Linked DNA regions of Macaca fascicularis. The protein of the gene in region 1 interacts with the protein of each later gene in a pairwise test. Links are inferred from orthologs where the notes say so. Each region holds a gene or a part of one and is shown in the gene's direction. Other genes may lie near its edges.

Evidence for each region. The genes of interacting proteins can lie anywhere in the genome.
Region 2: the proteins of RIN1 (region 1) and LZTS2 interact in binary tests that used the Homo sapiens proteins (3 or more experiments, as listed by UniProt). The two-hybrid records come from large-scale screens. The link is inferred for Macaca fascicularis from reciprocal best matches to the Homo sapiens genes RIN1 and LZTS2.
Region 3: the proteins of RIN1 (region 1) and RRAS2 interact in binary tests that used the Homo sapiens proteins (3 or more experiments, as listed by UniProt). The link is inferred for Macaca fascicularis from reciprocal best matches to the Homo sapiens genes RIN1 and RRAS2.

The regions. Positions count from the first base shown.
Region 1 is NC_088388.1:8,069,434-8,071,536, forward strand, and holds the end of RIN1 (ras and Rab interactor 1), read left to right. Parts: intron 1-3; coding exon 4-135; intron 136-251; coding exon 252-403; intron 404-904; coding exon 905-1,381; 3' UTR 1,382-1,592; downstream 1,593-2,103. UniProt on the Homo sapiens protein: Ras effector protein, which may serve as an inhibitory modulator of neuronal plasticity in aversive memory formation. Can affect Ras signaling at different levels. First, by competing with RAF1 protein for binding to activated Ras.
Region 2 is NC_088383.1:109,955,010-109,959,265, forward strand, and holds the start of LZTS2 (leucine zipper putative tumor suppressor 2), read left to right. Parts: upstream 1-1,450; 5' UTR 1,451-1,646; intron 1,647-2,042; exon of another isoform or gene 2,043-2,073; 5' UTR 2,074-2,336; intron 2,337-2,980; exon of another isoform or gene 2,981-3,383; intron 3,384-4,242; exon of another isoform or gene 4,243-4,256. UniProt on the Homo sapiens protein: Negative regulator of katanin-mediated microtubule severing and release from the centrosome. Required for central spindle formation and the completion of cytokinesis.
Region 3 is NC_088388.1:51,408,269-51,412,240, forward strand, and holds the start of RRAS2 (ras-related protein R-Ras2), read left to right. Parts: upstream 1-1,166; 5' UTR 1,167-1,477; coding exon 1,478-1,585; intron 1,586-1,853; exon of another isoform or gene 1,854-2,288; intron 2,289-3,972. UniProt on the Homo sapiens protein: GTP-binding protein with GTPase activity, involved in the regulation of MAPK signaling pathway and thereby controlling multiple cellular processes. Regulates craniofacial development.

The DNA.
Region 1 (2,103 bases):
CAGGGGAGGACGCGGGTGCTGACGAGTTCCTGCCTCTGCTGAGCCTCGTCTTGGCCCACTGTGACCTTCCTGAGCTGCTGCTGGAGGCCGAGTACATGTCAGAGCTGCTGGAGCCCAGCCTGCTCACCGGAGAGGGTGAGGGACCCCCACCCACTTCCCTGCCTGGGTGGGCCCTGAATAAGCAGGGAAGGGGAGAGGGGATGGGTGCCCCACACCCAGCCTGAGCCGTGTTATTCCACCCTGTGTCCCAGGTGGCTACTACCTGACCAGCCTGTCTGCCAGCCTGGCCTTGCTGAGTGGCCTGGGTCAGGCCCATACCCTCCCACTGAGTCCTTCGCAGGAGCTACGGCGCTCCCTCAGCCTCTGGGAGCAGCGCCGCCTGCCTGCCACCCACTGCTTCCAGGTAACAGGCCCTCCACCGTGTCCTCAGAGCCAGACACCATCCCCGCCTTTCACCTTCCTGTCCTTGGTGAAGAGTCCAGACTCTGTAGCCAGATCCCGGGTTCTAATCCCAGCTCTGCCACTGGGTTGTGGGGACTTGGGCAAGTTACTTAACTACTTTGTGCCTCAGTTTTCTCATCAGTACAATGGGGTAATAGGACCTACCTCGTGGGGTTGAGGTAAAGATTAAATGAGTTAATGCAGGAGAGTACTTGGGGCACAAAGTGTGCACTATCAAAGCTTCGTCTCAGGCTTGTGAGCTCCCCACTGGGCTGTCCTGCACCTTCAACTGTGGCCCACAAGCCGACCCCTGGAGCTCACAGAGCTTTTGCCACTTGGTTCTCCCACTGGATTTCCACCTCCCCACCCTGTCCCTGCACAGCCCACACTGGTCCCTCAGCTTTGGAGCCAGATGCATGCCAGTCAGGGCTGAGTACTTGTTTTTGCTTCTCCTCCTGCATAGCACCTCCTCCGAGTAGCCTATCAGGATCCCAGCAGTGGCTGCACCTCCAAGACCCTGGCCGTGCCCCCAGAGGCCTCGATCGCCACCCTGAACCAGCTCTGTGCCACCAAGTTCCGAGTGACACAGCCCAACACTTTTGGCCTCTTCCTGTACAAGGACCAGGGCTACCACCGCCTGCCCCCTGGAGCCCTGGCCCGCAGGCTGCCCACCACTGGCTACCTTGTCTACCGCCGGGCAGAGTGGCCTGAGACCCAGGAGGCTGCAACAGAGGAGGAGGGCAGAGGGCAGTCAGAGGCAAGGAGCAGAGGGGAGGAGCAAGGGTGCCAGGGAGATGAGGACGCTGGGGTCAAAGCCAGCCCCAGGGACACTCGGGAAGAGTCTGACACAACTGCTGAAGGGGGCCAGGGTCGAGCCCGTGAAGGCCCTGCTCAGCCAGGGGAGCCAGAGGCAGAGGGAAGCCGGGCAGCAGAGGAGTAGCTTGAAGTGGCCAGAAGGGTCGTTTGGGGCGGGAGACCTTGCGCCTGCTGAGAAGTCCTTTTAGCGCCAGCAGCCCCACCCAGGGCCCTGTCCAGTGTCTGCCACCACCTTTGTCTGATACTTGTCTCCAGGGAAGCTGAGGGAACTGCCACATCTGAGGAACTGGAATAAAGATGAGGGGGCTCGGGGGACCCCCAGACTGTGTGCCCAAGGCCCCTTGCCTCTTGTTCTTCTCACCCAGCTGAGGGTGAGCCAGCCTGCAATGGGGAGTGTGCCAAGTGGGGGCGAATCTGATGGATGCCCAACCTCTGACATGGGGAGGGTAACAGTCTCGGCTCCTTTTACCCTTCCCCCCATGGGCGTGACTGAGTCAGGGCTCCACCCCAGTAGCCCCCACCAGGCTGAGACTTCCAGACCCTAAAAGGTTCCAATGGCTCCTAGGTGTCAGGAGGATTTAGAAAGGCCACGGAACAGCAACAAAGGCTCAGAGCCCACCCCTGTCCTGGACACCCGAAGGACCTGCACCTGCAAGCATCAGTACTCTCATCTGTAAAGTGGGGACACTATTGCTGCCCTGCTCGGTTCCCAGAAGTGTTTCAGTGATCAAAATGGGTGATTTTGCACAAGCAGAGCTCATGGCAGAAAGGGAAGGAGAGAGCTGGGCTGCTAACTCTCTCCTGGAATCTACTCTCTGCCAGACAGGGCTCCCATCTGCTGACACC
Region 2 (4,256 bases), on another chromosome or scaffold:
CAGACTTGTCTGTTTGTCTTGCCCCACCCTTCTAGTAGACATCCCCACACAGCACAAACCAGAAGGATGAGGTGGAGGGGAAGCTAATACTCTCCCCAGCCCCACCCCCTGCACAAACACATTCTACTCCATACCTGCCTTAAACACCCACATCATGATCGGGCCCAGCCTGTTCAGATCCCTGGATTCTAGAAAGCAGTGGGGGGTCCCTAGGGCCTGTGCAGATTCCCTGGGATAGGACTGGTCTGCCTACACCCAACTGGATGTTAAGAATCTCCCTGACTCACAGGTTCAGTGGATTGGGAAGAAAAAAAAAAATTCAAAAACATTTCCCCGAGAACTCAGGAAAGGCCTGGCTAAGCCAGGTCCAGTTGGATCTACAGCCTTGTCCTCTAACTGATAGTGTATGTCACACTTGGCTATGAGGGGGCAGCTTTGGTCCTCCAGCAGCTTCCTCTCTGCTGTGGATGGGTTTAATAATAAACAGCTCGGCCGGGTGTGGTGGCTCACACCTGTAATCCCAGCACTTTTGGAGGCCGAGGTGGGTGGATCACAAGGTCAGGAGTTCGAGACCAGCCTGGCCAATATGGTGAAACCCCGTCTCTACTAAAAATACAAAAATTAGCCGGGCGTGGTGGCACATGCCTCTAGTCCCAGCTGCTCTGGAGGCTGAGGCAGGAGAATTACTTGAACCTTGGAAGCTGAAGTTGCAATGAGCCAAGATCGCGCCCGCTGCATTCCAGCCAGGGCGACACAGCGGGACTCCGTCTCAAAAAACAACAACTCACCGAGGTCTCCAGCAGCCCATACGGCCCAGATACCTAAAGACCTTCCCACATGCTGCCTTGAGTGCCATGGCGGGAGGGAGCCCCTGGGGCCTCCCTGCAATACAGGCCAACTTCCTGTTTGTGCCTGTGGGTAGGATTTTATGAGTCTAAGAGAAGCCCAGTCATGCCCCGTGGGGGGTCAGAACCGGCAGGCCTGCTCACCTGGGCAGACACCTACTCTAGGGAGGGGGCTGTGCTGGTTCTGCTTGGGCAGCCCCACGCTGAGGTGTGTGCATGGTGGGGGCAGGTGGGAGCTGCTCTGGTGAAACTCGAGCCTCCTTTGTCTGATTCCCAGGGGTTTTCCCTATATTTGGGGATTGGGTCAAGAGTGGACCGGGTTGGGCTCCCAACGGAGCAGGGAGGGTGGCAGAGTCAAGTTCTATAGGGCAGCTTAGTTTAAGGCAGCCAGGTAGTCGAATTATCGGTCACGAGATGCTCGCCCCCTTCCCCACGTCAAAAACCAAATCCAGTAAACTGTGAAGGCGAAGGCCAGAGGGGCAGCCTCGGCCACCGTCGAGTCCCTGTGGGGCAGGGAACTGGGTAGGCTGTTGGTGGAGTGCGGGACAGACCACTCCCCTCCCTGGGTGGGGGGCGCGGCCTGAGCCGCCCCGCCCCGCCCCACCAGGTCAGGCCAGGCGGGCGCCCGGAGCCGGGAGCCGGGAGCCCGGAGCCGGGAGCCGGGAGCCCGGAACCCGGAGCCCGGAGTTCGGAGCCCAGAGTTCGGAGCGGGCTAGGGAGGCGGCGTTGTCGCGGCGAGGAGGTGGGCGCGCTGGAGCAGGAGCGGGGCCAGAGCTGGAGCCGAGGCGCAGGTGGCGCTGGGTGAGTGGTGGGGCCGCGGAGGTGCAGGAACTCCTGCTTCCCGCACATCCCCGCTCCTGAACGAACTTTCCGCTTCTGGGGAAGCTAGGGGTGGAGTGAGGAGGGGGGTCCGCACTTGGTGGGTCGCCCGCGAAGAGTCCAAACAGGGAAGCGACACGAAAACGCACGCCGACGGGCCCCAAACACGCGTGCACAGACCCACGCCCGCACTTGGGACACGCGAACACACATGCAGTCGGAAAGGACGCGCCCAGTTTTGTACCCTTGCACTCCCAGGGACAGCGCCAATCAGCCCGCGCGGACCCACAGCGGGCAGGGCACTCTGCGGTCGCGCATTGGGTGCGGGAAAGGGGCAGCCCCGTGACCGCCGACGGGGGCGGGCCGGGTGGGACGCACCCAGAGGTTCCTGCTTCCTGGCCGCCCACAGGTGAAGACGAAGACGTAAACAGGCGCCGGGCACGTGACAGCTCCGCACACCAGTGGCCTGTGCCCCCAACCCCACCACGAGGCCCGTTTGCTTGGTTCCAGGCCGGACGGCGTTCCATTCTCCTCCTGGAGCCGGGATAAGCCCTCTCCCAGGAACCGGAGCACAGCGCCCCCTGGAGCCGGGGCGGAGCAGGAGGGCCGGGCTGCTGGGCAGGGCTGGGGTTAACCTGGGCTCCTGTACGTCCTTCCCCCAGCACATTCTTGGTATCTGCATCCCCGAAGGTTTCGGAGACAGGCCCTTGATGGCAGTGGACAGCTGCCCCCGCCTATTCCCGCCAGCCCAGAGAGCAGCTGCCTGAGCGCCTGCGGGTCCCCTTCCTACCCTCACCTCCACTCCTTGCCGGAGTAGGAGTCTCCTCCCCCGCAGAAAATGCATGAGTGTAAACGCCCCCTCAATACCAGAGTGGGCCTAGACCCCTAGAAAAAGGAGGACGAGCCCCTGCCCCCAGGGAATGAGGGAGTGGGCAGTAGCTCGATGCCTTCTTCCCGCCCCACCCCCTACCCCTACACACACGCTGAGCCCAGCTGCCGCCTGAGCTGGGCAGGCTGCCAGAAAGGGGAGGAGGTTCTCGGTGCCCCAGGAGGCAGGGATCAGGGCAAGGCCAGAGGAGGGGGCTCTGTTGGGGAGAGGGTCTCAGTCTGTTCTTGTGAGGCTGAGGGTCTGGGGTGAGTCTGAGGGTGGCTGGGCTGTGTTTCCCTTTCCAGGGAAAAAGAAAAACAACCCTGTCCATGGAGCTAAAAATAGAGCTGAGAGCCGGCCAGGGCTGTGGCCTGGAAGGGGGGGATGCTCCTTCCTGGGGCCCGGGCGAGCTCTGGCAGGCCTTGGCCCTGCGGGGGAGGGGGTGGTTAGGGGAGAAAGGCTGTCTTTGCCCAGGGATGCAGGCATCAGCTGACCTGACCGGGTCACCGAGACCCCTAGGGGAAAGGCTGTGCGGTAGAATATTTGCGAAGCATGGCTGTAAGAAGTTGTCTGTGTGAGTGACTGTGAATAGAGGCTGTCAATGCGTGAAAGATGGTTAGGAGACTAAGTGCATTTGAGACAGTGACTGGGTGCGAAGGACTGCGGATTGTTGTGGAAGCCTGTGCCCAACAGGCCTGTGACACCGTGTCTGTGTGTGAGTTGGACTGGAAGATTATGGAAAGAAGGAACGCGGACCCACGTGACAGCTGAGACTGCTTGTGGCTGCGTGGTGAGGCTGCATGTGGGAAAGGTCGCGTGGGTGTTAGGGAGACTGTATTGTGTGCGAGAAGGTGAGAATATTTGCGACCTTGAGAAAGTGGAATGTTGTCTGCCGTGCGGCTCCTGTAGGTTTGGGCTGTAGGCTTGGACCGGTTTGCCCCAGTGATTGTTGGGGAGCCAGGGGCCGCTTCTCTCCGAGAAATGACCTCTGTCTTAGCAAGCGGTCCCGAGGGGAGGCTGGGGAGCACGGGGCCGCGCCAGAGGCCGGCCTGGGTTCGCGGGGAAAAGGGCACCGTGCCGGGGAGTGGGGCAGGGCCCGCGTGGTGGGGGGCGGCTGGGTGTGTTCTTCGAGCGGGCCGCCAGGTGGCGCCGCCTCTGCGAAGCCCAGGTTGCCGCCTCCAACCCGCCCCTGGTGGGGCAGGTGCGGACCCAGCCTCGGCCTCCGACTCGCGCTAGGGCGCGGGGCCCCGGCACCGGAGAGTGGGGGACGGCCGGTCGTCGACCTCTCTCGCTTGGGACTCTGAGGCTGAGAGCGTGTCAAGGAAGCTTCGCTTGGAGAAGCGGAGGGGGAGGGGCGGCCGCCGCCGTGCCGTGGCCCTTTGTGCTGGAACAATGACCAGCTGCCGCTGGCCCCGGGGCCCCGGCTGGGGCGGAGGGTGACCACCGCCGCCGCCGCGTCGAGCCGAACCGAGCCGCCGGACACGCAGTCACAAGGCGTCGGAGGCAGGGCTCCCGACTGCCGCCGAACAGCCCCTACGTGCGCCCCGGCCGATTCGCGTGACGCGGGTGCCTGCGCGTGTCCCTGCGCGTGTCCCTGCGCGTGTCCGCGTCCCGGGGCGGAGACGCCCCTCGGACCCTCCCCCGCGCGGCGCCGCCCACTCGCACTGGGCGGGGGCTGGCCAGGGCCGGGGGAGCCGCGGAGGCGGGGCCGGGCCGGGCGGCTC
Region 3 (3,972 bases), about 43 Mb from region 1:
TCTTGCTTGGGGTCTCTCACGCAGTTGCAGTCAGATGCTAACAGGGGATGCCATCATTGGAAGGCTTGATTAGGCTGAGTGTCCAAGATGTCTCACTTAGATGGCTGGCAAGTGATGCTGGTGATCTGGTGGGAGCTCAGTGGGACTTTTTTCTGTTTTTTTTTAAATGACATGTTGCTCCTGGCCATCAATGAGACTTCTGATTGGCATGCCTACATGTAGCCTCTTTAGCATGGCAGTCTTATGGTAGTCAAACTTCTTACTTTGTTTCTCCCAGAGTGAGAATACCAAGAGAACAGCTGCATGGCCTCTTCTGATCTAGCCTGGTAAATTAGGCAGCATCTCTTCTGCTGCATTCTACTGGTTCCAAATGAGTTACCAAGTCCAAGAACTCGCAGTCATGTTCCAAGATTGCTGTAAATGCTTCCTGTGTACCAGCACTGTTTTATGTAATCATTTAATTCTTATTAAAAACCCCATGAGGGCGGGCACAGTGACTCACACCTATAATCCCAGCACTTTGGGAGGCCGAGGCGGGAGGCTCGCTTGAGGCCAGGAGTTCAACCCCTCACACTCACACTCCTCATTACTGCACATTTGTCACACATAAACATAGCCGCTATGACACTGTACTGACACATACAAAATCTGTCACATTCCGTCTTGCCCATGCAAGCTCAATCACTGTGACTTATTCTCCATGCTCAGCCACTGTCCAATTTTTCATACTGTCACAACCACCAGCCCATCACACACTCAATTACTGTGACACAGCTCTAATCCTCAATCACTGTCACATACTGTTTTTCACACAAATATGGTCACCATCTGTACTCTTAAAGCAGGGTATTTACTCTCCTATGAAATTGAGTTAATATGCCAACAGCCCATTTTTCACACACGCTGTCACATATTGTATTTTTCATCCATACAATCCCTGACATACACAATTAGGGTCACACACTGTTACAGCCTTCGTGCCACTCCCAACTGACACCTACTCCCACACTCTCACGCACTCGCTCACTAGCTAGGGATTGGATCGATGTGTCCGTGGAGGTCTGAAGCCCGGGTCACCTCCCGAACCTCAGCCCCAAGCGGCGCGGCCCCGCCCCTCCCCGCCCCCTCATGCATATGCAGCACCTCAGCCTGGCAGCCCGGCCCCCAGACGGCCATTTGTGGCGGCGCTGGAGGCTGCGTTCGGCAGGCGCTGCGGAGACGCGTAGAGGAGCGCGCCCCCCGGCCGCTGCCGACCCTGGCCGGTGCCGTCACCCCGCTTCTCCGCGCCTCGGGCGGTACCAAGCCAGCCCCCAGCGCCGCGCTACCGCGCTGACCGGCCCTCCCGACACCTCCCGGTACCCGGGACCCCAGCGCGGCCGCTCGCCCGCAGCCAGCCGGCCGCACACGTCCCCAGCCGGGCCTAGGGCGGGCGGCGGCGGCGGCTCGGCGCGGTCAGGCTGGGCTCTGCGGCGTCCCCATGGCCGCGGCCGGCTGGCGGGACGGCTCCGGCCAGGAGAAGTACCGGCTCGTGGTGGTCGGCGGGGGTGGCGTGGGCAAGTCGGCGCTCACCATCCAGTTCATCCAGGTACCTGGAGCGGGCCTGCCCGGGGCGCCGGGGCGGCGGCGGGCGGGAGCTGGCGCTACCTGTGGCGGGGCGGCCGCCGCGACCTCGCCCCGGAGGCGCCTCGCGGGCCCGGGCAGGGGCCGGGGCCGGGGCCGGGGGCGGGAGGGCGCGGGGCCGACTACGCTCCTGCCCTGCGGCCGCAGCGTCGCGCTCTTGCCTCCTCCCGGGCGCGGCGTCGCGGGAGTAGGGCTTCTCAGGAATGTGGTCGGGAGGGCGGAGCTGGCAGGGTGGGAAGCACCGATCCACCTTACCGCTCTGGCCGAGGCCGGAGACCTCCGGGAGAGGCTGGGCCACCGAGCCGGGCTTCCTGCTCCGAGGGTCCGGGCGTGGGGCTGGAAGTGGAGCCCCGCGCGCTGCTTTTCCAGCCGCCTGCGGCCGCGCCTGCACCGTCGGGGCGATCGCAGTGGCAACTTGGCGGCGGCTCCGCGTGGTCTCCGGGCTTCCCAGCGCCGCCTGAGCCGGAGCTACCCGCTTCAAGCACTGTGTATTTCTTTGTGTTGTTATGCTTTTCTTATAAGTACTCTCTTAGGTAATGTGTCCGGGTGGGAGTGTGTGATAATGCCCCGGGGAAATGGTGGCTTCGAGGAAGTTAAAAATGTTCTCTGATGGGGTGAGACCTTTTCCTAGGAATTCCTGATGCCGCCCTGCTTCTCGCCGTGCCTAGGTGAAGTTTGGGATGGGCCGGGCTGGAATATGACCGAGTCGTGCGTTCTGTTTTCTAACCACCCTCTCCCCCACCCCCAGCCCTCCCTGGTTGCTAGAGGCGGAAAGTCAGGGGTTTGTGGTAAAGAAAAGGGAGGTGGAATTCTTCCTTCTTAGAATTTGCTCTTGGGGAGAGGTTTGAGTAGTCTCTTTTGCGATTTTTAAAACACAAAGCCCCGATGTCTTTCTGCTTTTGTCAACCTAGAAGGTGTGGCATATGCTGGGAGAGAACGAAGGTACCCTGCTATAACAGGTAACAAGGATATTCTTCACAGTATCTAGAGTATGAACGGTGAAATATTTTTTTCTGGTTTCCTTTTCACCCATTTGTCAGATACCCGAATAGCTTATTTCACTTAGTGTTTATAGTGACATTAAAATATTGTACGGTAACAAATGTGATTGTCACTTTTCACATTGAGTAAATGAGCAATAATTGCTGCTATAATATTCCCTGGGATTACTACTGCTAAAACCTTTGTATCCAGGAAGAAAGGATGTTTTATGTAATGAGCATTTACAGTATGCTTATTAGTGGGTTAAAAAAAAATCACTGAGTAAGGGGTGAGATTGGTTTAAGTTTAGCAGGCTACAGATTCAGGGGTGTTGTCAGGTTGCTATTTCTCTAGGGCGCAGAGAGATTGTACCTATCTAATGGCAAAGCAAAACAATTTATAGCTAACCCTTTCTTTGGGGACTAGTGTGATGGCCGGGAGTGGGGTGGGGTGGGGGGCGGTGGGGAGGGTGAGTGGAGGAGAAGTCTAGGAGTGGGAGAATAATCTTGGGTTCCAGTATTAGTAGTGTTACTTAAAAGATTTGAATCACAAATATTTAAGTTTTTTTGAGGAAGGGGCCACCTGAATTATTTGAGCCCATGTTAATTAATTAAGGTATTGGGCCCTTTTGTTTTTGGGGAAGTAATGGTATTAAACCATTAAGAAAGCAGTAATTGGACCTGGCGTCGTGGCTCTCTGTGATCCCATCACTTTGGGAGGCATCAAACCAGCCTGGCCAATATAGTGAAACCCCGTCTCTACCAAAAATACAAAAATTTGCCGGGCATGGTGGCGCGCGCCTGTAGTCCCCGCTACTCGGGAGACCAAGGCAGTAGAATCGCTTGAACCCGGGAGGCGGAGATTGTAGTGAGCCGAGATTGTGCCTGGGCAACATAGCGAGACTCTGCCTCAAAAACAAAACAAACAAATTAATTGCTGTTTTCCTAATAATTTATAGAATCATTTGTTGAAGCAATACCTCCACTATGAATAGTATAGTACCTAGATGCTCTAGATGATATTAAAGAAGGAAGCAGGTATGTATGAGGAAGACATTTGTACATCAAAAGTATGAACTTTGAGTCTTACAGACTTGAGCATGTGTGTCTTTTAAAGCTGTCACTTATCGACTGTGAGAACATGGCCAAAATAGCCTCTCTGAGCCTCAGTTTTCTCACCAGTAAAATGGGTGTGATTACACATTCTTTATAACTTTTAAATTACGACAAAGTTTGTAGCATTGTATCTAGCATGTTGTGTGTGCTCAGTAATGGTAGGTGTTATCAGTGTTTATGCCTACAGTTCTCTAACATGTTTAAATGCAAAGGGAATTCAGACTCACAAAAGTCTGGAACAAATTGATGAAAGCAC